Linked DNA regions of Cricetulus griseus. The protein of the gene in region 5 interacts with the protein of the main gene of each other region in a pairwise test. Links are inferred from orthologs where the notes say so. Each region holds a gene or a part of one and is shown on either strand. Other genes may lie near its edges. The genes, in order: Gosr2, Nrip3, Galnt2, Tmem11, Kash5, solute carrier family 41 member 2 and Nsg1.

What was found.
Region 1: the proteins of Kash5 (region 5) and Gosr2 interact in binary tests that used the Homo sapiens proteins (3 or more experiments, as listed by UniProt). The two-hybrid records come from large-scale screens. The link is inferred for Cricetulus griseus from reciprocal best matches to the Homo sapiens genes KASH5 and GOSR2.
Region 2: the proteins of Kash5 (region 5) and Nrip3 interact in binary tests that used the Homo sapiens proteins (3 or more experiments, as listed by UniProt). The two-hybrid records come from large-scale screens. The link is inferred for Cricetulus griseus from reciprocal best matches to the Homo sapiens genes KASH5 and NRIP3.
Region 3: the proteins of Kash5 (region 5) and Galnt2 interact in binary tests that used the Homo sapiens proteins (3 or more experiments, as listed by UniProt). The two-hybrid records come from large-scale screens. The link is inferred for Cricetulus griseus from reciprocal best matches to the Homo sapiens genes KASH5 and GALNT2.
Region 4: the proteins of Kash5 (region 5) and Tmem11 interact in binary tests that used the Homo sapiens proteins (3 or more experiments, as listed by UniProt). The two-hybrid records come from large-scale screens. The link is inferred for Cricetulus griseus from reciprocal best matches to the Homo sapiens genes KASH5 and TMEM11.
Region 6: the proteins of Kash5 (region 5) and solute carrier family 41 member 2 interact in binary tests that used the Homo sapiens proteins (3 or more experiments, as listed by UniProt). The two-hybrid records come from large-scale screens. The link is inferred for Cricetulus griseus from reciprocal best matches to the Homo sapiens genes KASH5 and SLC41A2.
Region 7: the proteins of Kash5 (region 5) and Nsg1 interact in binary tests that used the Homo sapiens proteins (3 or more experiments, as listed by UniProt). The two-hybrid records come from large-scale screens. The link is inferred for Cricetulus griseus from reciprocal best matches to the Homo sapiens genes KASH5 and NSG1.

What each region holds. Positions count from the first base shown.
Region 1 is NC_048600.1:116,738,649-116,742,945, reverse strand, and holds the start of Gosr2 (Golgi SNAP receptor complex member 2), read left to right. Parts: upstream 1-1,471; 5' UTR 1,472-1,595; coding exon 1,596-1,624; intron 1,625-4,297. UniProt on the Homo sapiens protein: Involved in transport of proteins from the cis/medial-Golgi to the trans-Golgi network.
Region 2 is NC_048596.1:90,942,950-90,946,976, reverse strand, and holds the start of Nrip3 (nuclear receptor-interacting protein 3), read right to left. Parts: upstream 2,802-4,027; coding exon 2,628-2,801; intron 1-2,627.
Region 3 is NC_048596.1:201,041,112-201,044,655, reverse strand, and holds part of Galnt2 (polypeptide N-acetylgalactosaminyltransferase 2), read right to left. Parts: intron 2,380-3,544; coding exon 2,253-2,379; intron 1-2,252. UniProt on the Homo sapiens protein: Catalyzes the initial reaction in O-linked oligosaccharide biosynthesis, the transfer of an N-acetyl-D-galactosamine residue to a serine or threonine residue on the protein receptor.
Region 4 is NC_048600.1:74,863,481-74,867,754, forward strand, and holds the start of Tmem11 (transmembrane protein 11, mitochondrial), read right to left. Parts: upstream 2,804-4,274; 5' UTR 2,596-2,803; coding exon 2,540-2,595; intron 1-2,539. UniProt on the Homo sapiens protein: Plays a role in mitochondrial morphogenesis.
Region 5 is NC_048599.1:154,093,308-154,097,446, reverse strand, and holds the start of Kash5 (protein KASH5), read left to right. Parts: upstream 1-1,310; 5' UTR 1,311-1,388; coding exon 1,389-1,431; intron 1,432-4,139. UniProt on the Homo sapiens protein: As a component of the LINC (LInker of Nucleoskeleton and Cytoskeleton) complex, involved in the connection between the nuclear lamina and the cytoskeleton.
Region 6 is NW_023276806.1:152,039,085-152,042,628, forward strand, and holds part of solute carrier family 41 member 2, read left to right. Parts: intron 1-1,686; 5' UTR 1,687-1,849; coding exon 1,850-2,401; intron 2,402-3,544. UniProt on the Homo sapiens protein: Acts as a plasma-membrane magnesium transporter. Can also mediate the transport of other divalent metal cations in an order of Ba(2+) > Ni(2+) > Co(2+) > Fe(2+) > Mn(2+).
Region 7 is NW_023276807.1:107,106,753-107,111,084, forward strand, and holds the start of Nsg1 (neuronal vesicle trafficking-associated protein 1), read right to left. Parts: upstream 2,834-4,332; 5' UTR 2,675-2,833; intron 2,305-2,674; 5' UTR 2,279-2,304; coding exon 2,150-2,278; intron 1-2,149.

The DNA.
Region 1 (4,297 bases), on a different chromosome or scaffold from region 5:
TCTCTCTCTCTCTCTCTCTCTCTCTCTCTGTCTCTCTCTCTTCATGGTGGCTAGAAATAGCACATTCAAAAAGTAAAGGACAAGAACAGATATATAGTTACTGGGCCCAAACAGGGGCTTGTGTTGTATGAATACTGTAAGGAGTCCTTGCTGTATTTATTACAAAATAATTGAGTATGAAGATTCCTCTTTTCTGTTATTTATCCTTACTGTTCTTCATATGGGGCCATGGATTTTGTAATACAATTTAAAAACAAAAGACCTACATAGCAAGGCCCACAAAAATATTTACCTAGGGCCCCATACGACCCCAAAACAATTTTACCGGTACATACAAGTACACATATTTCCCTGCATTTTCCTCACCACTGAGGTACTAAAAATATAATAAAGTAGCCCTTTATCTAATGATCCCCAATCGTACTGTCCAATCAACTATAGTTGACATGCAGCCGTCCCACCCTCAAACCTTCCATTGATTCTTGAAGGCCCTATACCCATGCTTCTTGATTCCTGGATCCCTCTAGCTCCTCTCCTGGGAAATGGTCCTTACATCAGTGATAGCCTAAATGTTGCTTGCTACTAGGCCTCAAGGTTATGAACCTTGTCAATAGACAGTGAGAAAGAGAAACTTCAGGAATGTGTTTTGCTTGTGTTCCTATCCCACGCGTCTGTGCATGGCACACAGTAGATGTTCAGTAAACATCTACTGTGTGGGAAATTTAATGTTAGGGAAAGAATGAAAACGGGCAGGCAGTCTCTTGGGACACAAAACTGGGAGGGATGCGGGATACAGAAAATAGAAGTTACAACTCACTAAAGGAAGAGGAACAACTCCTCCCTTGGGAGGAACTGTAGATAAGCACCTAGATGGATGGAAATGAGACGGGCCTAGGTGAAGACAAGTGCTTGAGCCCTTCCAAGTCCTCCTCCAAATGCCACCCGCCCTTCATGTCTTTTAAAAATTTCCCATCGACGACAGCCCCAGCTCAGTTTATTATCTTTGCACTTATTGAGGTTTTTCTACCTTTTGGAATGTTTACTTGTATACAGATCGTATTTCCTTTTCTAGTCCGACCAGGAGGAATTTGGTTGTTCCGCGTCACACAGGACACATGTTAAACGCGCACTCACTGTGTGTGGGCTTAACGGAAATCAACAGAAGGCGATGGGAAGACTAGTGGGCAGACAAGTTCGGGACAGGAAAAGCATTCGCGTTGAGGAGGGAAATCGGCTCAGACCCGAAATCACACAGTGAAAAAGCCGAGCCGGAAAGCGCCAGCGACTTCTCCCTGAGGCTCTGACGTCAGTACCCCGCGACCGTCCTCTCCGATACCTGATTCAAACCTGAAGCCAAGCCCCAGCAGAAAACTTCCCCGGGGCTCCGCGCCGGGCCAAGTGTCGAGCCACACCCACCCCTCGCGTACGGCTTTCCTTTCTCGCAACCCCTTCTCCGACCTCACAACCACCTCGGGTCAGGCGCACCAGCGGACGCCCTACTCAGGAGGGCGGGTCCTGAGACCGGAAGTCGGAAGCCGGAAGTGGGGCTGTGAGGACGTGTTCCGAGGAAGCCGCAGGCCGGCTCGGCCGGCGTCATGGAGCCGCTGTACCAACAAACGCACAAGTGAGGGCTGCGTTGGGGAGCGGGCTGGGCTCGGCCGGGTGGGCGGCTCCCGGGGCTCGGGGCTTTGGCGACTGCCATGGTGGAGGTCGAGCGTTTCCGCCGGGGCTGCTCCGCATCTCTCAGTCCCTTGCGGGATGTCTGTCCTCCGCCGCGAGAGGGGGCCGGTGTGGGCGCGAAGCTTGGGCCGGGTAGCTCCTGCTGCAAACCGTGACTGCCTGTTGGGAGGGGAAAATAGCAACACACAGGTTATAGTGCATTGTCCATCACCTGCCAGCTTAGTCCTCCGGGTTGGTAGAGCTTCGAGAACAGAGGAGCAGTTGACGAAGCCCGTGTCCATGAGTTCATTGCTTAGTGGGAGTGTCAGGGGCTGTGCGAAAAAAGTGTTTTGTATTCTTGGTTGGACATTAAAGAACACATTTTCGTGCCACAGAGAAATACAGGTAACCTAGACTATTATTGTTAGTCATATTGGGTTACAAGTTAGCTTTAAGGAAAGTTGAGTTTTAGATTGTCTGTTCATAACTAAATTAGTTTCCGTGATGTGCCCTTTATTCATATTGTCCTGTGTTTTGGGAACTTGCTGTGTTATGTAGCTGGACATGATAAGGGCCATACTTAACGCCGTTTTAAGGCCTTTCTATTGATTTTATAACAACACCGAACTGTCATACACCCTGGGTCTGAAAATGAAATAAGCTAGTCAATCCGGCCTCCTTGGTAAACTCATAACAAAAGGAATGGAAATAAGATCGTGGCTATTCTTTTTCTTTCTTATATTCGAAGTTTATGGTTCTCTTTTTACTTTGCCAACAGAGTGATTTGGGAGAGGGAAAATTCGGAAACTACATTATAATGATAATTTGTGTATTATGTAAAAAGGGTAGGAAGAGATTAAAAAAATAGCCCGAGAACCGATCCTTTACATGGGCCTAGCAGTGCATTGAGGTTAATATGCTATTTGCTGAATTGACAAAACATACATCAGAACATACTCTCTAGAACATCTCTCTAGAACTTTGAACCTAATCTGTGATTATCTCTTATTGTGAAAGTACACTGACATTAAATCAATTATTTAAAGTCAGATAACTGGAAAAGTCCCGAGCACCAAATGAATGAAAAAAAAAAAAGATGAAAAACAGGACATTTTATACTTCAGCATTTGTCCACTAAGGTGAACTTTATGGAGAAGCTAATCGCCAGGCTTCCATTTTTGAGATACTAGTGTTTGTAAAGATGGTTATATTTGTTCTTTGTATTGTCCAGTCTGCCATTCTGGATCTCATCTCTAAACAATGCAGGTTAAGTAGGTCTTAGATGCAAACAGCTCTGTAGTGAACAGGCTTTCCAGGTGGTTTTAATGAGTAGTTTGTTTTAAGAACTATTATCTCAAGACCAACTTGTCAATTTGCCTTGTGGGGTGTAAAAACTAGCTACAGAGGCAGAGTGGAAGATGTGAAAATCGTGTGTGTGTGTGTGTGTGTGTGTGTGTGTGTGTGTGTGTGTGTGTGTGTGTGTGTGTGTTCAAGACAGGATTTCCCTATGTAGCTAAGATTAGCCTATAACCTGCTGTGTGGCTCAGACTGGCCTCCTGCTGGGATTATAGATGTTACCACCACTTATACCCAAGTGCTAAGACGACAGGTGAGCACCACCACACGCAGGTTAACCCACTACTTTATTTGTTTGTTTGTTTGAGATAGAGTCTCACTGTGTAGCCCTAGCTGATCTGGAACTCACTATAAAAATCAGGCTGGCCTGGAACTTACAGAGATCCACCTGCCTCTGCCACTTATGTGCTGGGATTAAAATGTGTACCACCACAGAGAAAGATGAGTACCACCTATCTCAAAAAACAAAACAAAAAAAAGATGTGTACCACCACTACACTCATTACTTTAAAAGCAACAGCAGTTTAACTTGATGCTGCTGAGGTTACACCTAAACATTAGTTTCTGTAAGCTCTCAAATTATTGTTAACCATTAGCAGCTCTGTATAGTTAAGACAGAGGCACCAAGGAGTTAAATGACTTAAGTGTCTGTCATCTTGCATAGTTGAACTAGATTTGCAACTGAGAGCCTTTAACTCCCAAGCCCTATCTTGCTCATGGTGGTTAGAGGCAGTGAGCACACAAAGTCACTGTGTATGGTGGAGGTGGGTAGGTAGTTTCATGACCTTTTCTTCCCCACTTGGTTCAGTCCCCAGGCTGTTCTCTAACTCAAAATACTCCTGCTGAGATTATAGATATTACCATCACTGGGCCCAACAGATTCATTGACTTCTTATTTATTTTTTATTTATTTATTTTTGTGTGCATTGGTATTTTGCCTGTATGTATGTCTGTGGGAGGGTGTCAAATCCCTGACAGCTGAAGTTACAGTTGTGAGCTGCCATATGGGTGCTGGGAATTGAACCTGGGTTCTCTGGAAGAGCAGACAGTGTTCTTAACCTCTGAGCCATCTCTCCAGCCCTGATTCATTGACTTCTTTAAAGAGCAATTTCATTTAGAATTCTTGCTACAACCTGTGTAAAGCTTTAAAAAAAATAACAGCAATGCTTCTTGCTTAATGTGTACCTGCTCTTTGCTTAGCTATATTGTCACCCAAGTCCATGGTGGACCCCATGTTACAAAAGCCTGAAACTTCTTTTTTTTCTCATGTCTGCACCCCCAT
Region 2 (4,027 bases), on a different chromosome or scaffold from region 5:
ATTTAGCACAAAAATCCAAATACAATGAAATGACAAAAATAAATGAGCCAGATTAATAAGATATGATTAATTTCCACAGCAGACTTTGTAGCAGCCAACTCCACACACAAAGCAATTGGGTAAAGGCACTATCCTGGGGCCAAGAGAACATGGCTATCTTTGATTGCCTTACAGATGCCATTTGCCAAACCAAAAATGTTAATATCAAACCGTAAACATTGCAGAAACAGCGTAATACAAGGTAGATAATTCAGAAAAGTCAGCAGCATAATTAAAACATAAGATACTTGTATGATGAAAAATAATACAGTCTTAACACTGCTCAAGCCCGAGTCAATAAAAGCTGAATTTGTATCCTCTTATGCCTTCCTTTTGTCCCTTTCTATTGGGGCTGTTTGATAAACTACCTCAAGTAAAAACTACTGTTAATTTTAATACCCTCCAAATGGAGTCAGCATGATCTATCTTGTCTGTAAATGAGTTGATAAGAATATGTTTCTAAAATCGTTTCTGAGACAGTACTGAGCCTGCAACATCAGTTCCAAAGATGCTGTTTCTCCCCATCACTTGCATCTTCTTGCCCTCCTTCAATCAGCCTTGGTTTCTGTGATGTTTTCTGGTTCCTCCTTGCACATTAAATAACTTGCACATTAAAGGTGTGAGAACAGTGCTAGAGGAAGATTAACTATGAAAATGGGGGTACAGAAAGTGTGAAACATAGTTCAGGGTTTCACAGTCAACTGCTGTGTGTCATGCCAATGGCTACACCCTGAAAGCCACCTCTTCAACTATGCTCTATGCTATCCACTCCTCGTGGCTCAGCTGTGATGAAGGGAGTCAGAACAGAATTACCCTTACATAGTTCGAAGTCATATAAGGAATCGTAGGAAGAAGGATGTTGTGATTCTCATCAGGGAACTCCTTATAGCCACCCAGGGAAACCAAACATCTATACCTTAAATCCAGCATTTTAAACGTCCACATTTTAATTCTTTTCATAATACCTCCCACCTTATTGAATAGGATTACTTTGGTCTGAAGGAGAGAAGATTCAAACTGAGTTTGCCAAATGAGTCATGAATGCTTTTAAGTGCAAGAAGGTAAGAAAGAGTTATCTCTTTGATAGGATTAACATCACTCATCACTCTGGGTTAGCATGACTAGATCAACTATACCCAGGCTCAAGATGGAAAACAGCTTTTAGAAAAACCGAGTAAGATAACTAGAGTAGCTCTTTCCCTTCATGAGAGTATCTAATGGTAGGAAGGGAAAATCTTTGGTACTGATGAATCAGTAGAACTATTTTTTAAAAAAGCAGAAGCACTGGCCTTCATTGCCATACTGGGGCCAGAAATAGCAATTTCAATGATTCAGGGCCAACAACCACATTCAAAATTAAGTATTTCAGAAGCTCAAAATATAAAAATACTAGAAAGATTACCTAGAGCATTTATTTCTGCAAAAGACAATGTTTCACAAATTTCTCTGCAGATAATAAGGAAACTATAGATACAAGGAAACCATCAGAGCTGGGAGTGGTAATGCATACCTACATAATCTCAACAATCATGGGGCTGAAGCAGGAGGATCCAGAACTAGAGGCCAACTCGGGCTATGTACTGAAGGCCAAGCCAGCCTTGGTTATATATAGCAAGACCCTGACGTCTCAGAAAAAAAAAAAAAAATACAAGCAAAAGCAAACTCCAGATGAAACTACAGAGTTAGATTTAAAAAAAAAAATTGTGAGAAAGGGATGAGAATTAAATATAGGTCATATCCCTCAGCCATTCACCCCTATTCAATAGATGGAGGACAATATGGTTTTGGATTCTGGCCCACATCCTGGACTTCTACTTAATACCAAGAATAATCCTGCCAGAAATAAAAAGACTGCACCAACCCCAGCTCCAACTATGTGCATGCATTAGCTGGTCTGTGAGATGGAGCCATCAGCATTCACTCTTCAGAGGGAGGACTAAAGAAGAGGGAGAGATGAGAGTGATGAGATATTCAGGTTCTGGGAATATTCAATCTCAACCCCCCCCCGCGCCCCGCCTTTCCCTTGCCTGCCCCACCCCTACTCAGGGTAGAAAATCAAAGGTAGGTAGATTAAGGCCAAAACTAAACTAAATAGATTTGGGCGGCAGGGAGCGGGGCGCAGTAGAAACAACCAAAGTCATCTAGATTCAGCAACTGTCACGAAACCTCGCTTTCCGCTGTTTCTCAGTCATCCACTACGAGTCACCTCTGTCTGGGACACGGGACTGGCCATGCAGCCTGCGAGGAGGCAGTGGGAGCTGAGACTTCGCTGTGAGGTTCCAGCCCCGGGAGCCAAATTCGAGATCGGAATAGCGGAGCAAAGGAAATCTGAGGGCAATAGGACCGGGCAGGGTGTCTTTCTTCCTAGTCCTGGGGAGGAGAAAGCCAGGCTCCCTGGAGTAGGCTGCGACGAGAGAGAATGAGTGAGGAAAGCTACGAGGTCCCCAGGGATGAGAGATAGGGAGGGTCTCTGCCGAGCACCCGCCAGGGAGCGGACAGTGACTCAGTGAAAGCGGCAGCGAGGGCTTGGGCGACAGTGGCGGCCTGAGGAAGGCCGGAGGCAGGAGTGGCCGGGGTGGGGAGCTCACCGTGTCCTTGGACGAGCCCAGCTTTTTGAGGCCGTCCAGGGGCAGCAGGTCGGCGGAGTCCTTGTGGATGAACTGCACCGCCTGCTTCATCCGGCGCTGCTGCCGCAGGGAAGCCGCTTCCCGCATGTCGGTCTCCTTGCGGCCGCCCTCGGTGAGGAGTCCTGAGTAAAACATCTCTGAGGCGCCCGCGGCCCGGCGGCCGGGTCTCCCCGCCCCGAGCACCCTCAGCCTCGAGCTCCTTGACAGCGCTGTGGGAACCTTGCTCCCGCGCCTTTTATAGCCGAGCGTGACGTCACGGGGAGAGGCCAGTGCGCGAGGAGAGGGCGTGGCCGGCACAGCGCCCCGCCCTCTGGTGCACCTTGGGGGGGGGCGTGGTGTCTAGTGTCAATCATCTACTTCCACTTCATCACCCACCCGGAGGAAAAAGCCAGCCAGGAGCAGCTCGCGGTGGACCGACTGACGGCGGGGCGCTGAGTGTCCAGAGGGGCCGCTTCCCACAATTGTCCCCTCTCCTGCGTGGGATGCCCTGCATGCCCTGCATGGGATGGGCTGTAGGGCCCTGTACTCTAGCAGCCTCTCCCACCCCAGCCGCCGCCCTCAGACTCTCAGCTCACCTGTCCACGCCGATCCAGGGATCACTGACAACTGAGCCATGCTCAGCTTCTCAAGAGTCGAGCCTTTGTGCTCCGAAGTTGGGAGAGCTACGGATTCCTCCAACTTCAGGTCGGTCCCCACCCACAGGGGCACGTGACAAGGAGGGGGGCAGGAGGACGGGTTGGATGGGGCCTTCCGAGGACCCTCCGCCCCCTGGTACCCTCTGTTCCGGAGCCTAGCACCAGAGATGGGGAGGCAGGGCTGGTCTGAAACCTCTGCCTGCCAGGGAGTACACCTGCTCTTACGAACACCAAGAAAGCACCTATTTTTCTCTGCAAACGCTAGACTTTACATTTGGGGATGGAAGTGGAATGCGTCCTTGTGGGCAAATTAAAAGCTGTTTTTCTTTGAGACTCATTCATACTTTCTAGCCATTGTTCCTTCTGGGTTGGAGTCTTGACATATGACTTAATACAAATCACATTTCTATGTTTGGGAAATCACAACATCTCTCTCCACCTCACAGAAGCAGGCATGAACCAGAAAGCTCTGCACCCTGAGAGCACTTTTTAGTCACAATAACGACACTTTCCTGAGCTCTGTGGTTGCGAGCTAGATACTATAATGAACACTTACAAGGCAGCATCTTAATGAAGGACAGCAGCTATGAGATAGCATTACTATTCTCTTTATACAGGCAAATGCCCAAACCACCCAATCTGCCTCCAGAATGTCCCTGACTCCTTCCTTTCCATTGCTCACGGTGCTGCCAAAGTATTCCCCAAGCACCATCATCCACAGTCCTG
Region 3 (3,544 bases), on a different chromosome or scaffold from region 5:
GGGAGGGTGCTCAGTTTAAGCCCATGGAACCACCATCAATCACTACAGCACAAGGTATCCCCGGGCAGAAGCTGCAAGGACAGTGCAGACACTCCTGAGACAAAATCCCTGCTGTGCCATGGAGGCCACAGCAGGAGACTCCAGCGCCCCAGCCTCCACAGTGTGAGGGGATGCAGCACCACTAACACACTGGGAAGTGAAGTTGGCCCTCAGCTGAGGCTGAGGGAAGTCATGTGAAAATTAGAAATGACAGCATGAAGAGGTGGGGACATCGTAGCCCAGGTGTGGGGTTCCTCTGGTTCATAAAGAAAGCCTGCAGCCACAACACTTAGGAAGGGCCACTGTAAGCACAGACACCAGCAGACCCTCTGCTACATGAAACATGGCCTATCATGCTCTTCCAAAATGAGCACGGCAGGCAGGCAGTGGTCACCCTGCAGGTAAAGCTTTTTCTCTGCAGTAAAGCCTTTTAAATGCTGAACCTGTCACACTGTCTGAGCTGTAATTACTAAATCCATCTCCATGTGGGGCCTCCATCTTCCCAATAAAGTGATAAATATTCCTGTTGTCCCTCACTGGGGGAGGGGCCAGACTGTTGCCACTGAGACAAGATGCAAACGTGCCCATCCTCGGACTCCTGGTGCTAACCCTGGAGATTCACCTCAAGGTCAATAACCAGAAATGAAATGTATGTGAAAATGTCCTCACTTCACAGTGTACAGTGGAAAAACTGATGAATGGTTGTGGACATGTAGACATGTAGGTTTTTGCACTGAGAAGTGCCCAGATGATGAAACACCCCTGGGTCTCTGGGTTTGTCTTTGAGAAGCAGAAATGATTACATCAAGGCTCTGACCTAACCAATGGCCATATTCTTAGGTAGAGTCACAATATGGTGGTGATGTTGGAGATGGTGAAAGGTAGGGGGTGGAGGCATGCCCAATTTGCCCTCCACTTCCCATCTGCCAAGCAGTGAGAGGCCTCTTGACATGGCACTGCCACCAGCTCCTGTCTCTGAACAGGTCCAGAAACACAGGCAAGTGACCACGGACAGATCCTCTGAAACATCCTGCAGACTCTAGCACTGATATTCCCCTGGGTCTGACAGTCTGAACACACCCAACGTTAGCAGCCCAGTGGACTCCCGTGCCATCTCCACAGGGAGCTCTGAGTGCCTTTAATCTGTCAAACCTGTCCCAGTTAGCCCAATTGCATTTCCCCATGGTGCTGACCAGACGAGCATTAGAAACATCTTGTCTGGCTTAGAGGTTTTGCTGTCTGCTCCTGAAGGTCTAATTCCACACTGTGCCCCCATGAGGTCTGACTCAGGTTTTTTGGTATTTTTTTGTTTGTTTGTTTATACAGGGCCTCACTATGTAACCTTGGCTGGCCTCAAACTCACAGACAGCCACCTGCTTCTGCCTTCTGAGCACTGGGATTAAAGGTGTGTGCTACCATGTTAGAACTGGAAAAGATTCCCAGGAAAAACCTGGTTAGACCAAGCAGCTTTTCAGTTTTTGTCTACTAACATTGATTGCCAATCACTAATCAGTTATGAGCCATGATGTCTTCTGGCTGGAGTGCAGTGTGACTTGCCTTCTGATATGGTTTCAATGTCTGCTCCTTCAGAACTCATGCTGAAATTTAGTTGTATTGAAATGACACCAAGAGGCAGGAACTTCAAGCAGTGGCCAGGCCATGGAGCTCTACTGTCACGAGACTGTGGCTGTTCTGGTATGCCCTTCGCCTCTCTTACCCTTTACTATGTGGGGCACTAGGACAGCCCTTGGCAGGAGTGGACACCTTGGCTCCAGATGTGTTGCCATCAGGACAGTTAGCCAACAATGGTGCTTTTATGATGACTCAGCCAGCAGTACTTGTTACTGCAGTACATGAAGGAAGAACAAATTACTGCTCTTATTTGCACTGTGAGTGCGATACAGCACAAAACCAGTTGCCTCTCTGAGATATTTGTGATCATCACATGGTAGTCTTTCCTTGATGTCCCAGTGCTAACTCCCCTGCTACCCCACCTTTAGTGGCCACATCTGCACCCCTCCCTGCCACAGTGCCTTTCTGAGACCTCCATGGGGCACAGTGAGACTGTTTTGGAGTTTTCTCATTAGAATACCCGCGCACTAGCTACTGCACCTTTTCTCAGCTTGGGGGCCATGCCTTTCAAAGGACACTGTCCCCACACAGCTCCGGGGTGTCTTCTAAGCAGACAGCTGGTCTGGCCTCTCACTACTTACCGGGCAAAGACAGTGCCACTGCCACCCGGGAACGTGTAGGGGTGCTGCTTCCGGAACACATGTCCCACACGGCTACATGGAATGATCTCAAGGCTGCCACCGCACTGCCACACTCGGAATGAGATCTCTGGTAAGAAAATTTGGCAACCATCAGTCTGTCATAGCTGCTGTCTCCATGGCACAGCTACCCCTGCCCTAGCCACCTACCATAGTTCACTTTCAACTGCCAAGGGAAACCAATGAGGGGCTGCTTCTCCAGAACCTGATCTGGAACTTTTTATAGAGGAAATGCTGGCTGAATCCCAGATAGGCCAACTCCACAGCACACCCAAAATTGAACATGCATGGAAACCACTGGACCGGACGTCTCCAAAGGATGATTTTTGGTCTGAAAGCAGATGTCTCCCAGACTAAGACTACGTGCACTCCAGTAACACCACAGTTGTCAACTGGAGATGAGTGCACAGACCCTGATCCTCCACACTAACCAAGAGGCAGGATGCATTGGGCTTTCCTTTGGGGCGGGGGTGGTGGTAGTGGTAGTGTGGGGGGAGAATCCTTGCCTATTGCTCTCATGTATCAACAGGTCCAGGTACCAACCAAGTTCCAAGGTAAAGGCCAGGGACAGTCCCCTAACCTGAGCAAGACAACTAAGTTTAAACAGGAAAATCAACAAGTGCCACTCTGAAAGACACCATAGAAGAACGAACTTCTCTCTAGGCCATAGGCCATCCCCATCAGCACATGCTGGTATGATGAGAAATCTACAGAACCAGGAGAACCTCCGAAGGGAAACAGGAAAAAAAAAATGAGGCAGGATCTTTGCAAACCATAAAGTCAATGGAGAGCTAAATATTCTAGACCAGCATGCTATCATGGCAGCAATGCTGGGAGTCTGAATGTCACCTGGTCAGTGTTGTCTGAAGTCCTGCCCAAGAGTGGAGAGAAAGGAGGGCAAGCTACAGTCATAGGAGTAATTCCCTTGGAAAGAACAGATTCCATTAACCAATCCCCTTGCATTATGAGGCCAGCTCCAACTGAACAGATGCAGGGGGTTCTCAACTTTTCTAGCATCAAACAAAACTTTGAGTAAGACCTCTATTTCAGAAAGAAAACTCCTATGAATGTGCCTATAGGAAGACTCAACAGTGAGCTTTCTGGGCAGGGCATCTGCTGAGCTACCAAGGGGCAGCCTGGAGGCCAGATAGGCTACTTTCAAGGCTGAGCACAAGACAGCTCCTTTCAACCATGACTTCACATGAGCCGTGGACATCCCCATGCTGCTGCTGTTG
Region 4 (4,274 bases), on a different chromosome or scaffold from region 5:
TGGACTTAAGAAGCAGGCAGAGCAAGAACCAATGCACACTAAGTTGACAATCAGCATTACGCAAGGCAATAAATACAACATATGCTCCAGAGTATGCAGCCACTGCCAATATGATGTCTGTTCAAAGCAATGCCCACTCCAGCCCTTGCCACAAACTACCCTGCATCTCCATCAGTTTCAGCATAGGGCAGGCAGCAAGGTGTGAGCAACTCTGAAGTACTCTTAACATGAAGCTGAAATTTGAGTCAGTCCAAATGTGACATGGAACAAAGTCACTTAGGAGCCATAAACAGCTTACTTATGTCATGAGAGCCAATAATACACTCAGTCCTCATAATCTATGGTGCTGAGTATACAATTATTCTGACCTGCTCCACCCAGTCAGGCCACCAAGTGAGCTGGAATGGAGGTGTGCCCAGAAGTCAGCTTGCTAGTCAGGTGGGGTTGTTTCCATACACTGCTCAGAGTGGGAGGGCCTTAAGGAGATGGGATCCTGAGACTGAGTCCTTTGGCAAGGACTTTCCCACAAAGGCAAATAGAGGGGAAGCCTCCAGTCACTACATATTATCTAGGAGAGCAGATGGCAACTCTCAAATCACAAAATCTGACACCCCATTCCTGGTAGATACACAACATCTGCACACATGGGTAGAAACTGCAGTTCCTGACCAAAGGTCATAACCTGAACACCTACAGGCCCCATACAGATAACCTCAATTAGTTGTCAGGTGAGGAACTAAAGAGAAGCTGTTCTGAAGAGTGTCAACTACTATCTAGTTTTACCTCAAAATCTTTCTGCATTTCATTTAAATTCCCTTAAAAGCTGTTGAAGCTCAATCAAGGACTGACTGACAAACTATTTTTGACTAATATTAGTTTCAAGACAAAGGAAAAATAGTTCTCTGTATCTATTTTCTTAGGAAGGCTACAGTGTAAGGCTCTTGTCCCATGCCTGAGGCATCCATGTTTGGCCCTTTCAGTCTGTATCCAAGAATAAGCGTATCCTAGAGCACCCAGGCGGTGGAGACCCACGCCTGGCCCAGCACTTGGGAGGCAGAGGCAGGAGGATCTCTGTGGGTTTGAGACCAGCCTGGTCTATGAGAGCTAGTTCCAGGACAGCCTCCAAAGCCACAGAGAAACCTTGTCTCAGGGGGAAAAAAAGCAACAACAACAAAAAGAGTATCCTAGAGCTTGGTGACTCACACTTTTAATCCAGCACTTGGGAGGCAGAGGCAGAGGCAGAGGCAGAGGCAGAGGCAGGCTGATCTCTGTGAATTCAAGCAAAACTTCAACTAGAGTGAGTTCCAGGACAGCCAGCGCTACACAGTGAGACCCTGCCTCTAAAAAACAACAGGAGTAGTAAAAGTGTCTTTGTCCGACACTGGGTCTTCTAGGAAGGTTCTTTCCTGTTACTAAGGGGCTGAAATTAAAAGTCTGAAAGCATCCCTTAAGGTGTTAAGGACATGGAAAACAACAAAATAACCTCTTTTGATGTTCTTATCTAAGAAATAAGTGAAAGTTAGAAAAACTACTCTTTGCCATTGCTTTTCCATGGAACAGTAAATGCACAATAGATTATTTTGCCTAACTGAAATCAAGAATAAAACCAAGGCTATCACTACTGCCAAGCAGGAAGAATTGTGTGGGATGGGAAAGTTCTCTAAGCAAAAGCAAGGTACATGGGATGCATCAGACAAAAAAGAACAATGCAGATTAGTGAAGACAGAACTTTTATGTTTGACAGTACTCATCGGAAAAGAAAAAAAAAAAAAGCCCAACTTTCTTTTCTACTGACATCTACAGTAAAATGCAGAGGCCTTTGCAAAACGGACTGAGCAGCTTAATCCAGTAGTTCTACCGATATACACCCATCTCCCCAAACTTCTAACGACTGAACAGTTTCTAGTAACCTACTAGCTAATAACACTTCCCAGAAGGAAAAGCCTACAAAAGTTCAACATGAAACACGCCAACTACTCTCATCTTCGGAAATCACTGGAAGAAACAAACCCCTAGCGCCCCCAAACGCATTCTGTTGAAAAGGTCACTTTAAAGGACTTAGGGCAGAAGCGCTTGCAGCGAACCCTCTAAGAGTGGCGATGACTGCCGCTCAGAAGGCGTCCAAGCACAGGCTCTTGGAGGTGCGCCCGGCACGCTGCTGCTCTCAGCAAACGCCCCTAGAAGCACACCGCTCTACCCTCCTCCTCTTCCAAGAGTCCATCCACGCCACGTCCGGCGCCCAGGCCCAGACAGCCACGTGCGCGAGCCAGCGACCCAGGGCCCGCACGCCGCTCCGCAGGACAGCTTGGCGGCCCTCGCAGTCGCTCACCCCGGTTCACAGACCGCCTAGTGCGGGCCGCTACCCCTCCTAGTCGAGCTCCCGGCGCTCCTCGGCCGTCGCGCCGGCCCGCTCCTCCCACACCAGAGCCCCGAAGACTGGGCCCCGCGTGCGGCAGGACACGACCCCGAGTCGCGCGTGGCACAGAGGCTTCGCCGACTCTAAGGTCGGTGGCTGCCTGCAGTCGCGAGCCCAGCTCACCTCTCTCGGGAGCCACCGCCGCCCGGACCCAGACGCCTCCTTCCCCACGCGGCCATCTTGGAGACTCTCGGCTCGTCGGGGGCTGGCGCCGAAGCGGCTCGGGGTGCGCGCGGGCCGAAGGGAAACGTAGTCCGGTGAGCCGTTCGTACGCAGTGGGAGGTTGCGAGCGGACTACAACGCCCACAATGCCGCACACCGGAAGCCTGCTGTAAACTGCCGCGCGCAAGAGGGCAAAAGGTGGGCTCCGCCTGAGGAAAGAGTCTCCGAGTCGCTGTGTGCGAGTTGCTGCGCCCACCGCCTGGACGTCCTTGGGCGCCCAGAGCGAATGGCTGAAGGAGAGCGGAATGAAAGCGCCTACCACTCCCAGAGCGCTTCGCGCGGCGACCCCGCCCTCAGGGCCTGAGAAGCCCAACCCTTGGCTTCAGCCCTCTTGCCCTTCACTGTGGCCTCGGCCGCTGGGGGCCTGCGTTTCAACTGTCCCACACTTTACAATGACTTGAGCAGCTTAACCTCCTCCGTTTCTCTCTTCTTATCTGCAGTCTAGAACTCGTGCTCCCCCAGTTTGAAGGTTACCTCTGCTTCCGCAGTGTCAACTGCCCCTCTCTCCTGACCAGAGCTTGCCAGCCTGGCAAATTCAGAGATTTTGAGGGTCTGTAGATGTGCTTGACCCAAAATGCCTTTTCCTCCCAGCCAGTTTTTATGCTTCAAGACCTCGGGTCTGTGTGGTTTCTAGGAAGTTCCTGGTTTTCAAATTGAATGCTGCAACCCTGCCTCCAAGTGCCAAACTGTAGCACAGTGCAAGTGTGGCAGAAAATTAGGAACGTGTAGCAAAAGATATCAAGAATAAGGTATGAGGGACTGCAGAGACGGTTCAACAGTTAGGGTACTGACAACTCTTCCAGGAGACTCAGGATCCATTCCTGGCACATGGCAGCTAACAATAGTCTGTTAATCCAGTAATATCCAAGGCCCTCTTGTGGCCTCATGAGCACTGCACACACGAGGTACACAAATACACAGGTAAAGCACCCAGACGCATTAGAAAAAGAAAAAAGACAAAAAGAATAAGGTATGAAAAAGCCAGTTGATAATTGCCTGGAAACCCTTCCCCGCCTGGGCTACTCAAACAAACTTGGCCTAGAGAAGGCAGGTGGTATGGAAATGGCCTATAAAGGGTTCATGAGATTATGGCTAAGGACTTGAGTTTATGAGTCTTAACCAGATCACTAGCCTATTCCCAAGCTCCTGAGTATCTTTGTAAATTTTTTAATGAATTGCTTCTATTATCTCGGATACAATTCTTTGTCCTGAGATACAAGAACCTAGAAACCTAAGTAGGTGACCCTGTGACTCATCCAGGAGGTAAATCTGTGCTATTTTTTATTTCCCATTTTCCCCTTCCTTATTTATACTATCTTTCACTTTCCCAGGAGCATTTCAAAGTGGTAGGAAAGCCCTCAGCTCTCGAGAAACCCTGATAATAGTGCAGGGGCATGCTCCCTTTCCCAGCATCCTTCAGTTTTCTATGGTTTTGCCACCTATGGTGATCTATACTCATGGCCCAGGGAAGCCTGGACCCTTCTCTGCCCTATTGTGACATGAGCAGAAAAAAAAAAGTTATGCATTGACCAGGGGCTCCCAAGCTTACATTTAACCTGGGAGGCTGAGTGGCAGCTGGTCAGGAGGGTCTGCCCTTTACTAGGATGCCTGTGAGGTTCTAGTGTTCCAGTATCAA
Region 5 (4,139 bases):
GGAAAAATGGTTCAGTGGTTAAAAACACTTGCTCACTTCAGCTTGATGGCTCAAGTCTTTAATCCAGCACTCTGAAGCAGGTGGATCTCTGAGTTCAAAGTTGGGCTAGTCTTCATGGCAAGTTCCAGGCCAGTGAGGGCTACAGAGGGGGACCTTGTTTTGTTTTAAAAAACAAAGGCTGAAACAGTACTCTTGAAAATCCCAGCACCCATGTGGCAACTCATAACCATCTGTAACTCCAGTTCTAGGAAATCTGATGCCCTCTGGCCTCCAAAGATATCAGACACACATGTGGTTCATACACATGTAGACAAAACACTCGAATAAAAAATAAAAATAAACCTAAAGGGGGAGAAAGGCAAGAAAGCAGTCCTGATGAATCAGCTTCCTGATGAGGCAAAGAGATGACAAATTCAAGGCCAAGCTGGCCATATTAGGGACGTTTTGTCTCAAAATGAAAAGGCTGGGCTGTAGCTTGGCAGTAAAGTGTCTATCTGGAATTGACTAGTGGGGCTGGTGTGTGGTTCAGCAGGAGAGCACTTGCCTAGAATCCACCAGTGAAAGATTATTGACAGTGTGGCTCAGTGACAAACGAGTGTGGAGGCAGGGAGAGCAAGGCTGAAAGTGGTTCAGACGGCCAGCAGTCCAAATTCGGGATAAAATGGGCAGTCTCCAGGCAGTGTGGGAGCCAGTTCAGCTTGGTATTCAGTCCCAGGCAGAGTGAAAGCTGTTTCTAGATAACAAGACACAAAGGCAAGGCAAGTCCCAGGCAGAGACCACAGTAGGAGTAGTGGGTTAGAGTTGCTAGAAGATAGAGCATGATTTGGAGAGAAAGCAGCTGGCCCAGGCCACACTGTGCCTCTGTTGCCAGAAAAAAGCAGGCTCTGCCTCAAGGTGATGGGGAACCATGGCCAGGCAGATCAGCTCTGCAGCCTGTGGGGATGCACTGGAGCCTGGAAGGAGGCTGGGACGTGGGCCCAGGGAGAACAAGGACCCAAGGCAAGATTGAGGACGGCAAGAGGAGCACAAAGTGGAGTCTCTAGGACAGGCATGATGACTTGCTAGGTTACAGGGGAGAGAGGTGGCCACAAGCCCTAGGGGCAGCAGTTGACCCCACCCTCTTGTCTCCTGCTTTGATCTTGCCGCCTGCTCCCCATCCCATACCTCAAATCCATAGCAACAGGTTGGAGTTGGGATGGGCATGGCAAACAGGTTCTGAGAACCCTGGGGCAGAGATGGAGCAGTTTAGCGGTGGCTAGTCTGAGGAAGCCATTACTTTGCTTGTCCTTCTAGGAGCTGTCTGGGCAGGCTGTTCCTTTCCCAACCCTCCTATCAGTGGAGGAAGGGTGAGAGCTTCACCAGCTGCAACAGAGAAACAGGAGTGGTCCATGGACCTGCCAGAGGACCCGGCTAGTAGTTCCACTGCACAAAGTAGGTGTCTGCCTGGAAGAGGAGGAAGTGGGAGCTGCGGGCCAGTGTGGGAGCAGGAGAGGTGGCCAGGCAGCGTGGTCAGAAGCAAAGGATGGTGGGAGAAGTGTCGATTGTGTGCTTGCCACGTGTCTGTCCCCATTTGCTCCTCTCTGGAGGGCTATTGGGGACAGAAGGCTGTGCACATGGTAATATCCACACCATCCCACCTCTTCCCACCAATTCCTCCTCTGTTCAGATCGTGGGCTAGTGAGATCTCTTACTTGGGGTAAAACAGGTTCCCTGCCCCGTCTCTTCCTGCTGCACTTCTCTTCCCAACACTGGCATCTGTCTGTCACCTACTTAGTCTAAGACTCTCCCCTGGAGCATGGCTCCTCAAAACCTATTCTACTCCCAGTGTGTGTGTGTGTGTGTGTGTGTGTGTGTGTGTGTGTGTGTGTGTGTGTGTGTGTGTGTGTGTGTGTGTGTGTGTGTGTGTGTGTGTGTGTGTGTGTGTGTGTGTGTGTGTGTGTGTGTGTGTGTGTGTGTGTGTGTGTGTGTGTGTGTGTGTGTGTGTGTGTGTGTGTGTGTGTGTGTGTGTGTGTGTGTGTGTGTGTGTGTGTGTGTGTGTCTTACAGTGCAGGAGGTGAAATCCAGGGTTTTGTGTGTGCTAGGCAACCAATCACCACTGAGCTATGTTCAGCTGTGCTGACCTCTGGGTTTTTGGTTTTTTGAGACAAAATCTGGCTTTGAACTTTTCACCCCTCTACCTCTGTTTCTCAAGTGTTGAGATTACAAGCATGCTCTCCACCATGCTCAGCTCACATATATAACTTTTAATTTTTTTAAAAGAGAAAAGCTGGCAAGGGGCTCATATCTGTAGTCCTGGAACTGAGGGGCTGAGGCAAGAAGATAGAAAGTTAAAGGCCAAATCAAGCAGGTGATGCAAATGGTATTAACTGATTTTATTTAGCTTTGTATGCATATAAACTGTTTTCTGCATTAAGCAGCATAAGAACATGCTGAGTTACTCCTGTTTTCCGACATCTTTGAGAACTAGTATGTGATGTTTCACACTAACACTGTTCCATCTTGGCCTGCTCAAGTGCAGGCAGCCTGTGCCGACTGGTGCTGCTAGCCAGAGCAATGCCGGCTTCATTGTGGAAGCTCAGTGCCTTGTGGGCAGATTCAGATACGTAGGTGTGGGAGCCAGCACACATCAGCTCAGGGAGGAAGGTGCTGGCTAACCGACTGTCTTCTGTGGGCCAGCCTCTGTCTCTGTCTCTCACTCCTGTTCTCTTTCCTGCCTATCTTTGTCTCTGCCCTGACTCAGCAACTCTGTTCCCCAAGAAGCTCTCTCCTTCCTCTACTGTCCTGGTCTCCCCCCTCACCTCATCTCTGATTTCTGACTCTCCATCCCCTGAGGATGAGCTAGAAGGGAAAGCCAGCCTCTGATTAAGAAGCTCTTTCCTCTAGATAGTCAGTTGGGGTCACTGCTGGAGTATCTTGTCTTCCAGGCTCCTGGATGTTTACAGGCAGGCCTGCAGCTTTGCTCAAAGCTGAGATTTGCACATCAGCCTCAGGAGTAACCTCTGCAAATAGGAGGGTTTTCAGGCAGACCAGCATGCCAGGACTAGAGAGAGGGCTGCCTGGCTTACGGGGAATGACCGCCATCTAAACCTCGCCTGCACCAGCAGAGGGCGTGCAGCCACCAGGAACTAGGACCATAGCCAAGTCAATTCCTGAGACTGCCTTTGGGAAGGGAATAACTCAGCCACAGGAAAAGCAAGGGATAAAAGACAGAGATGGCAAAGTAGAGAGAAGGCACTAGGAACAGAGTAACAAGATGGAAGACAGGAGAAAACAGGATGGAGGGACACAGGACAGAAGCTGGACATGTGAGAGAGGTTGGGGAAGAAGTGGAAGAAATATCTCAAAAGAAGTAGAGCTGGGGACCCAGCAGAGGCCGAGGCAGAGGCAGGTGGGTCTCTGTGAGTTCAAGGCCAGCCTGGTCTATAGTCCAGCAGAGGCAGAGGCAGAGGCAGGTGGGTCTCTGTGAGTTCAAGGCCAGCCTGGTCTATAGTCCAGCAGAGGCAGAGGCAGAGGCAGGTGGGTCTCTGTGAGTTCAAGGCCAGCCTGGTCTATAGTCCAGCAGAGGCAGAGGCAGAGGCAGGTGGGTCTCTGTGAGTTCAAGGCCAGCCTGGTCTATAGTCCAGCAGAGGCAGAGGCAGAGGCAGGTGGGTCTCTGTGAGTTCAAGGCCAGCCTGGTCTATAGTAGTTAGTTCCAGGACAGCCAGGGCTACACAGAAAAAACTTTTCAGAAAAAAAAAAAAGATAGAAGCAGGGGCAGAGCTGTGAAGTGGAGGAGGAAGGAGAGGGCAGAAAGAGTGTCTTAGGGTAGTGTCTCTATGTATCAGTGTCCTCACTGGGCCACAGAGTCCTCCTTTGTTACACTGGATGATGAAGAGCAGTAGACCAGCTGAAGTCCACCTCCCCTAACTATCCTGGGCTCCTAGAGCCCTCCCATGGGAGCCAGAAAAGGTCCAAATCAAACTGGTGCAATGAGTCCTGAAGTGTCAGGGGGAGAAAGGGGATTCTTGTGCTGGAAGGCAACTGTGGCAGCTTCTGTTGCTCTGCCTCAGACTCATCTTTAGGAATAGCAGCTGCTGTGGTTCTGATGATCCATGAGTGCCTGTAGTTATGTGCCAAGCAGAGGCCCATTCTCATTCTAT
Region 6 (3,544 bases), on a different chromosome or scaffold from region 5:
CCTGCATGTTCCTGAGAAACATCTGAGGCATCATGAAGTTACTGTGCAGTTAGGTGCTGCCAGGGGGGGCATATATGGCCTTGCAGCTCAGTGCCAGTTGGTGACTAGCTACACTAGCTATCTGTGTGTATCTTTTGAGACTCTAGTCACTAGCTAACAGTCAGAGACCTACTTGGGGACATTAGACCCTAGAAGACTTGAGGAACACGGAAAGGCATTACCAGCTTTGTTTTGGTTGGCTTACAAAATGGAGGACTGAGTATTTATCGTTATTTTTAGTTATGTCCTAAATAATCTAAGGAATATATATATATATATATATATATATATATATATATATGTGTGTGTGTGTGTGTGTGTGTATATATATATATACACATATATATATGTGTGTGTGTATACATACATACATACATACATACATACATACATACATACATACATAGGCTTTTCAAGACAGGGCTTCTCTGTGTAACGGCCCTGGTTGTCCTGGAATTCACTTTGTAGACCAGACTGGCCTTGAACTCACAGAGATCCACCTGCCTCTGCCTCCCAAGCTCTGGGATTAAAGTTGTGCGCCGCCACCACCCAGCTAAGGAATATATTCTTAAGTCAATTTAATGATTGTTTTGTATATGAGAATGATAGATGACTCTAACCTAGTTTTATATGTGGACTAAATGCCCTGTACTGTATTCAGGATACCTATAAAGTGTTTTTACAGTAAATGTCATCTTTGTCTCTTCATATTTTAATGAAAAATGTGTAATAACCTATAAGTAAAGGAATATGGCTTATTAGTTAATACAGTATCATGGTATATACTTTATTGTGTTTTTTATATTGACATGTATAAGTGGCCGAGACTACTTATTTATTTTGGTGCTGAAACTCAGAAACAAGCACAATTTAATTTTGAGTCCTCTCCATAGTGATAGGAGCTTCTTTTCCTCCTCCTCCTTTTGGTTTTGTTAGAAAGAGGGTCTCATTCTGTAGCCTAGGCCAGTCTCTATCTTTTGGCAGTCCTCTACTTGGCCTCCTAAGTGCTACCACAGGAGTATGCCACCATGTGCAGCAGATGCCATCACTTTGTATCTTAAATGTATCCCCTGTAGAACTTCAGAGGCAGTCGAAGACCTCATATGGGCTTCAGTTACATGAAACGTACAAAAATAGAAACACTTTTACCCAAGATAGATTATAAAATGTTTACACATTTTGTTTGTTTTGTCCTTTTTGAGGCAGGATCTCGATGTGTACTCCTGACTGGCTTGGAACTCACTGGCTTCAAGCTTAGAGATCTGCTTGCCTCTCCCTCCTGAATACTACTAGTAGTATTAAAGGTGTGCACTACCACACCTGGCTTCTGCACTGTATTTTTATTAAAAATGCAGTTGTGTGTCACAAAACAGATCTGTGTCCAACTCTTGGAATAGAGTATGGCTCCTGCACTTATATGAAAATTAGTATAAGTGTGGTTAATCTAAGTTTTTGTTTGTTTGTTTGTTTTTCAGGACAGGATTTCTCTGTATTGTTTTGGAGCCTGTCCTGAAACTCACTTGGTAGGCCAGGCGGGTCCTGAACTCAGAGAGATCAGCCTGTCTCTGCCTCCCTAGTGCTAGGATTAGAGGCATGAGCCACCAACGCCTGGCCTCTAAGTTTCAAATTTTATTTTTTCCTTTGCAGATTGAATCCCTCTCTGGAACTGGTAAATGTTTTTTACCAGAGGAAACGTTTCCTGTCCAGTAAAGTCAATGGCTTAACTTCGGCAAATACTGGTGTGACTTTGCTTCTGCTATGCTCCACGAAGCTTGAGTCTGAAGGATACAGTGCTTTTTGTGATGACAATATGACTCACAGTAAAGGAAGATCTGTCACTTGCAAGACAAGTGGCAGTCCAGATAGTGGAGGAGGTTTTGTAGATTGGACTTTAAATTTAAACACAATTCAGTCTGACAAGTTTTTGAACTTACTTTTAAGTATGGTGCCAGTCATTTACCAGAAGAACCAGGAAGACAGGCATAAAAAAGCAAATGGCATTTGGCAGGATGGACTGTCAGTTGCAGCCCAGACCTTCAGCAAGAGGTCAGAGCCACATCTGGACTACCACGAGTTCTCAGAGCAGGCTTTCCACAGCAGCAGTGGGCATGCTCCAGCCAGCTGCAGCCCCAAATATGACGACTATGCCAGCTATAACTACTGTGATGGGAGGGAGGCTTCAGAAACCACAGCCATGTTACAGGACGAAGATCTGTCCAGTGAGGGTGATGATGTTATTGTGGAAACAAACCAGAAGCTACCCAAGGAGTCTAGTGGCATCATGGCTCTGCAGATACTCGTGCCATTCTTGCTGGCTGGGTTTGGAACAGTCTCTGCCGGCATGGTTTTGGACATAGTACAGGTGAGTTTTCATCTTTAGTTTCTGTGTGCGTGCGTGCGTGCGTGCGTGCGTGCGTGCGTGCGTGCGTGCGTGCGTGCGTGCGTGCGTGCGTGCGTGCGCTTTTGCACATGGGCTCCAGTGCACTAGAGGCCAACCTTGGATGTCTTCCTTAGTTGCTTTCCACTTGTTTTGTGAGGCAGGGTCTCTCACTTCTACCTGGAAGTTACTGACTCAGTTGGCAGCTGGTGACACTCTAGGGGTCCAGCCTGTCTCTGTCTCCTCAGCATTGGGATTATGAGTGTGCCACTGTGCTTGACTTTCTGGATTTTTAATTCATTCATTAATTAATTTGAAACAAGAATTTCCACATCTCCCTGGCCATCCTGGAACTCACTATGTAGACCAGGCTGGCCTTGAACCCACGGAGATCCAGCTGCTTTTGATTCTGCCTCCCAAGTGTTGGGAATAGAGGTGTGTGCTATCCCTCCCGACTAGCTTTCTTTTTTGTCAACATAGGTTCTGAGGATTGAATCTAGGTCCTTATGCTTTACTCGCTCCAACCCTTCCCCTTCTCTCCCCTCCCCTCTTTCTTCCCCTCTCCTTCTCCTCTTCCCCTCCACTCCCCTCCCATCCTCTCCCCTCCTCTCCGTTCTCCTTCCTTCTCTTTTCCTTTCCTCCTTCATTGCCCCTGTCTGTCAATAGGGTATTGTAAGACCCCCCCCCCCCCGGAAAGCTCAGGCTTCCAGTATCTTAGCCCAGGACCAAGGCCACCTCAATCACTAGGCTGAGTCGAAAGCTTGATGCAAACTGCATGAGGCTTTATTATTGTTTAACTAGCTAACCCCATGTTAGCTCTGGTCTTTCACCCATCCACCATTGTGGATGGCTACAAAAGACAGTTCGAAGCGGTTGCATAGAGATCTTATAGGGCAGCGTAAGGGGAGTGTCTAGGGGTATGCACAGGCTCAGGATTGGTGTGCCTCCAGGCTTGGAGTGCTTGCCCTGTGTTGATTGGCCAACTGGTTGTTATGGCCCATAGGTCCTCCCAGGGCAGTTGCTATGCTCTGCATGTCATTGCTGTGCGCTTGTCAGTAAAGCACACCCAGAGCCATAAAGCATAGCACCACCAGCTAACTTCTGATTGGTTCCTTGCCACAAGGCAGG
Region 7 (4,332 bases), on a different chromosome or scaffold from region 5:
CAAGAGTGGTCATAGGGGAGAAAAATGGCCTGTGCCTGGCATTGAGCCAGAAAGCCCTGCACTTCAGTGCGTATTATCAAGTTTCACTCCTGGCATGCCACTCTCCTGCAGTAGACAGGGGTATCCACTCCTTGAAGGCATCATCTCAAGGCAGCATTGAGCACTGCCCTGCCATCCTCACATCCCAGCTGCACCAATGTAGCCTTGTGACCTTGAGCACACATTTGGGAGCCACTTTACCTGACCATGAATACAGAAGGCTTCTTCCTGTCCTATCCATAACCTGGAGGGCAAAAGGCCTATATCATCCAGAACTGTGAGGGTGAGGACATCTAGGCCACTTGAATTCAATCTCCATCTACCACTAACTGACAAGTGACCTTGGACAGAGCCTTTCGAACTCTCTAGGCCATCATTGCTACGTCTATCAAATGAGAGCAATGGTGGCGGTTGCCTTGCAGCAACGTGGGCATGTTGAAGTTCAGCCAATGAAGTGCACAGAACAGTGCCTGGTATGGCAAGTGTCCCTAACGAATGTCAGGCATGGCTGCTCCTGATGTGACTGGCAGGTCTTCACACTGGGAAGTCATATCCCCAACCTCCCTGACTCTTGTCAAGTGTGAGAGTCCAACTCTAAGCATGCTAGGGATTTCCATACCCCGGAGGCCAGTGACCTTCAGCAGGATGACCTTGGGTGCATTTGGTGAACTCTGAAAGTCTGTCTCCTCCTCTGTGACTTTGGAACCCTTTTAGCTCAAGGACCTGTTCCTACAGGAATGCCCTTTTCTGGAGCATCCCCATCAGTTACCCCAAGAGAGGAGACTCTACCTACAGAGCCAGCTAGCCTAATCCCAAGCAACAAGACTGGCTGGCAGAATGTGGGACTTGCCTGAAGCCCTCCACCTTGTGGCGGACCGTGCCAGGCAGTTCTGGAACGGAACACACTGAAGGCAACAGAGGAGGCTTGGGCCAAGTACAGGGAATCACCTGATAAAGGTGCCACTTCAGGACACAGGGTTCCTGGTGCAGACCTCTGGTGCTCCTCGGCTGGGTGTATCAAGGTAGGAGGGGTAGAAGTACTCGGGACAGAGTCCTGACACCCCACCATAAGGTGGAGGCCACAGACTCGATAGCTCTGTTCCTCCTATGAAGGCTAGCCTGAGCCAACAGCCGTGGTGTGAGGTGCACAGCTATAACCAGCTGATCCTGCCTTCTCAAATGAAAACATCTGCAACCAGTCCCTTCCCTGCTCCCATGTCACCCACCCCCACCCCACCGCCCCAAAAACCCAGACAATAGAATTAAGGAGACAAAATCACTTTGGGAAGCTAAGTTTGGGAATGAAAGAAGACCCTACTGCAGCTCCCTCTTACACCCCATTCTAACTGCCCAGTGAATGCAGAGCCCAGAGTCGGAGCCTCTTTCTCAAGAACGAACTGAGACAATAAATGTAAAAGCATGTGGGAATCTTGAGCAAGCCCCTTTGTGTGTAGGGACTGTAGATGCAGGGCGTGTGGTTTTACATTAGAGTATTGCAATGCTATCTTCTATGTTAAGGATAGAATTTGCTTTTAAATGGTATGGCTTGAAAATATCTTTATGGAGCAATGATACCCCACTGGATGTAGTACTCAAGAGGGGAGTCTTTTATAAGTCAGAAAAAAAAATGCATCACGTAAAGATGGTCCTGGTTACACTAGCATTAGTGAGTCGGAGCTCAGATATGGGGATTTCACAAAAGGAACAAAGAGGAAAAAGGCTCTATTCCTGAGCACACACCCAGTAAGGCAAGTGGAGCTGAAACTGCACCACCCCCAAAAGGCACAAGGACCAGCTCCCTGGGCTCACTCCTGAACCCCATACTCCTGTACCACAAACATTGCTCCTCATAAGACTCCCCCAAAGTCAAGAGGGGGCTTTCCACTAAAGAATCTTGCCAAGAAGAAGATGTCATCTAAGGCAGGGGGCCTCCAGCATCACCAAACCGAGAATCATGAGGGTACATTGTGCTCGCCCTGCCTTCCTCCTCTTGGCTGAGCCCGCCCCCACCTCTCATCCCCAAAGCGCACAAGGCGTTTCTTTTGTTTCGGTTGCAGCTGAAGATTTAAGGGTGCACACCCAGCAGCGCGGGAATGTCGGGGGCTCATACCTTATCCGGGGGTGGGAATTGCAGCTGGTTGACATCGAGGGGCGTCATCAGGGGAATGGTGTCGAAGCCATCCTCCAGCAGTGGCTGCTTGGTGCCCTTCTCTGCGAAATTGTTCCCCAACTTCACCATGGTTGCGAAAGACTCGAGGCTGCGGCCTGCGGAGGGAGGGCCGGGTGGGGGTCAGGGCGAGCGGCAGCCGGGGCGGGGCAGGGCATAGCCAGGAGGACTCCGCACACCCACCCGCTGGCCCCGCGTCCGCTGGCCCCGCCTGGTCTCCCGAGAGAGGTGGCAGGGACGCGGCGATCGCAGCCAGATCAGGGTCTCCAGGCTGTGTATTGGTGGGCATTTCTAGACGCCCATCCCGCAGAGGGCAGGGCTCATCACGGCCAGGCTAGGGGACACCACCCGTGCCCAGCCTTTGCAGGACGCGTCCCCAGTCCCGCGGCGCTGGCCTCCTGCGCGTCTCCCGCGGCCCTCAGAGTGAGAGTTGCTCCGCCGCCCACCCTGCTCCCCACCCGCACTCACCCCACGCCCGGCTCCGGCAAGTATGGGCTCTGAGCGCGCTCCGAGGCTCCGCGTCGCCCGCTCCCGCGTGCGGCAATGGCGGAGGCGGCGCCGCGGCCGGGGGATCAACGATTGGGTTCTGCGCCTCCCGCCTCTGCGCGCCGCCTCCTTCCTGCCGCTCCCGGGGGCCGCGCGCGGGAGTGCGCGTGGGGCCGCGCCGATGCGCCTCCGCCTTGACGCAGCGCCGCCCGCGCGCGGATCGGCTGCACAAAGGAGCACGCGGCTGCAGTGGGGGGTCCCCAGGGGGACCCCACGCGCGATTAGACCCGGGGAAGGAGAACCTGAGACTCCTGATGCCGAGCTGGGGTATCCCCCAGCGGTATGCACAACCCTGGGGCGATGATCGAGTGCAGGGTTGTCGGGAGGGAGGAAGGGAAGGGAAGTGGGAGATGTAGGGAAGCCAGGAAGCCCCAAAGGGAGGGAGAGAGGGTTCTGGCACACCGCGGAGCCGATTTGAGGATCCTGAAGGATGAAGAAGGTTTTCGGAGGACAATGTGGATGACAGACCTAGGTGGCCCTTAGTGTGAGGCTGGGTTGGAGGGGGATGAAAACGAGGGCGTGTCTCTATAAATATAAAGAGGGAGGTTTAGTGCTGTCCCATGGCTACGGATGCATGCCTGGGGTGTGAGGACAAGAGGACAGGTGTTCAGAGCTTAGGGTGCTACCACGAGAGGCAGGCTAGCCAAAGCTGTCTGCGGTCAGGGAAGGCAAGGATCTCCCCACCGCAGCCTCAGCTCGCCTGGATGGTACTGAGACTCAGAAGGAAGAACGGAAGTTCTAGTGCCTGACTAGTGCCCCAGGCAGATGTCACAGCTGCGCAGATAAAGGCCACTGCACTTAACAGACCTCTAGCCAGACTTGCTTGCAGGAAGGAAAAGCTACTTGGATATGGGAGCGAAGCTACAAAAGGAGTGGGGCTGAGGGTGCACGAGGAGCAGCACCCTGAGAACTTACATGTCCCCATGGTTCTTACCTGGGTTCTAAACATTCTCAGGGGACCCTGAGAAATAATAGAAATCAGACCCTTCAGGAAGAGCCTATGGGTCCAGATTCCAAATTCTCCTGGACAGCCCCTTCTTTAAAGGGGGAGGGAGGGTCTGTTGCCAGGGCTTTCCTACCCAGACTTCTGGCAAGTTCAAGGCTGCCTTTGAGTCAAGGCAGCCTGACCAGGGCCCAGAATTCTCTCTAGAGTGCTTTTCCAGGAGGCAGAGGGAAGGGCCTCCAAGGTACCTGTGTGACATCTTGTTGCCCTCTTAACAGCAGAGAACGGGAGTTAGAAAACACCCAGGCACCAGCCTGCAGGCATCAGGGTGCCTACCAGTCAGGCTGCCTAGTTTGTGCAAGAGAGTGGCTATATCTCCATCTCAGACTCGAGCTGTTTTCAAATCACAGCACTAGTCTACTCTGGAGTCAGGACCCATCCAAGGAGCAATATGGTTGGTCACGCCCTCAACCTCTAAGACTTCAAGAGCCAGGCTATCCTAGAGACAGCTACAGTTATGCTGTGGCTTGTTGGCCTGGGCATTGCTCTTTCCTTCTGTGTGGTTTTCTTTGCTTATATCTGGACCCCATAACAGGCACAGGAAATGCAAAGTACATAAGACACACTGCCACCCTCC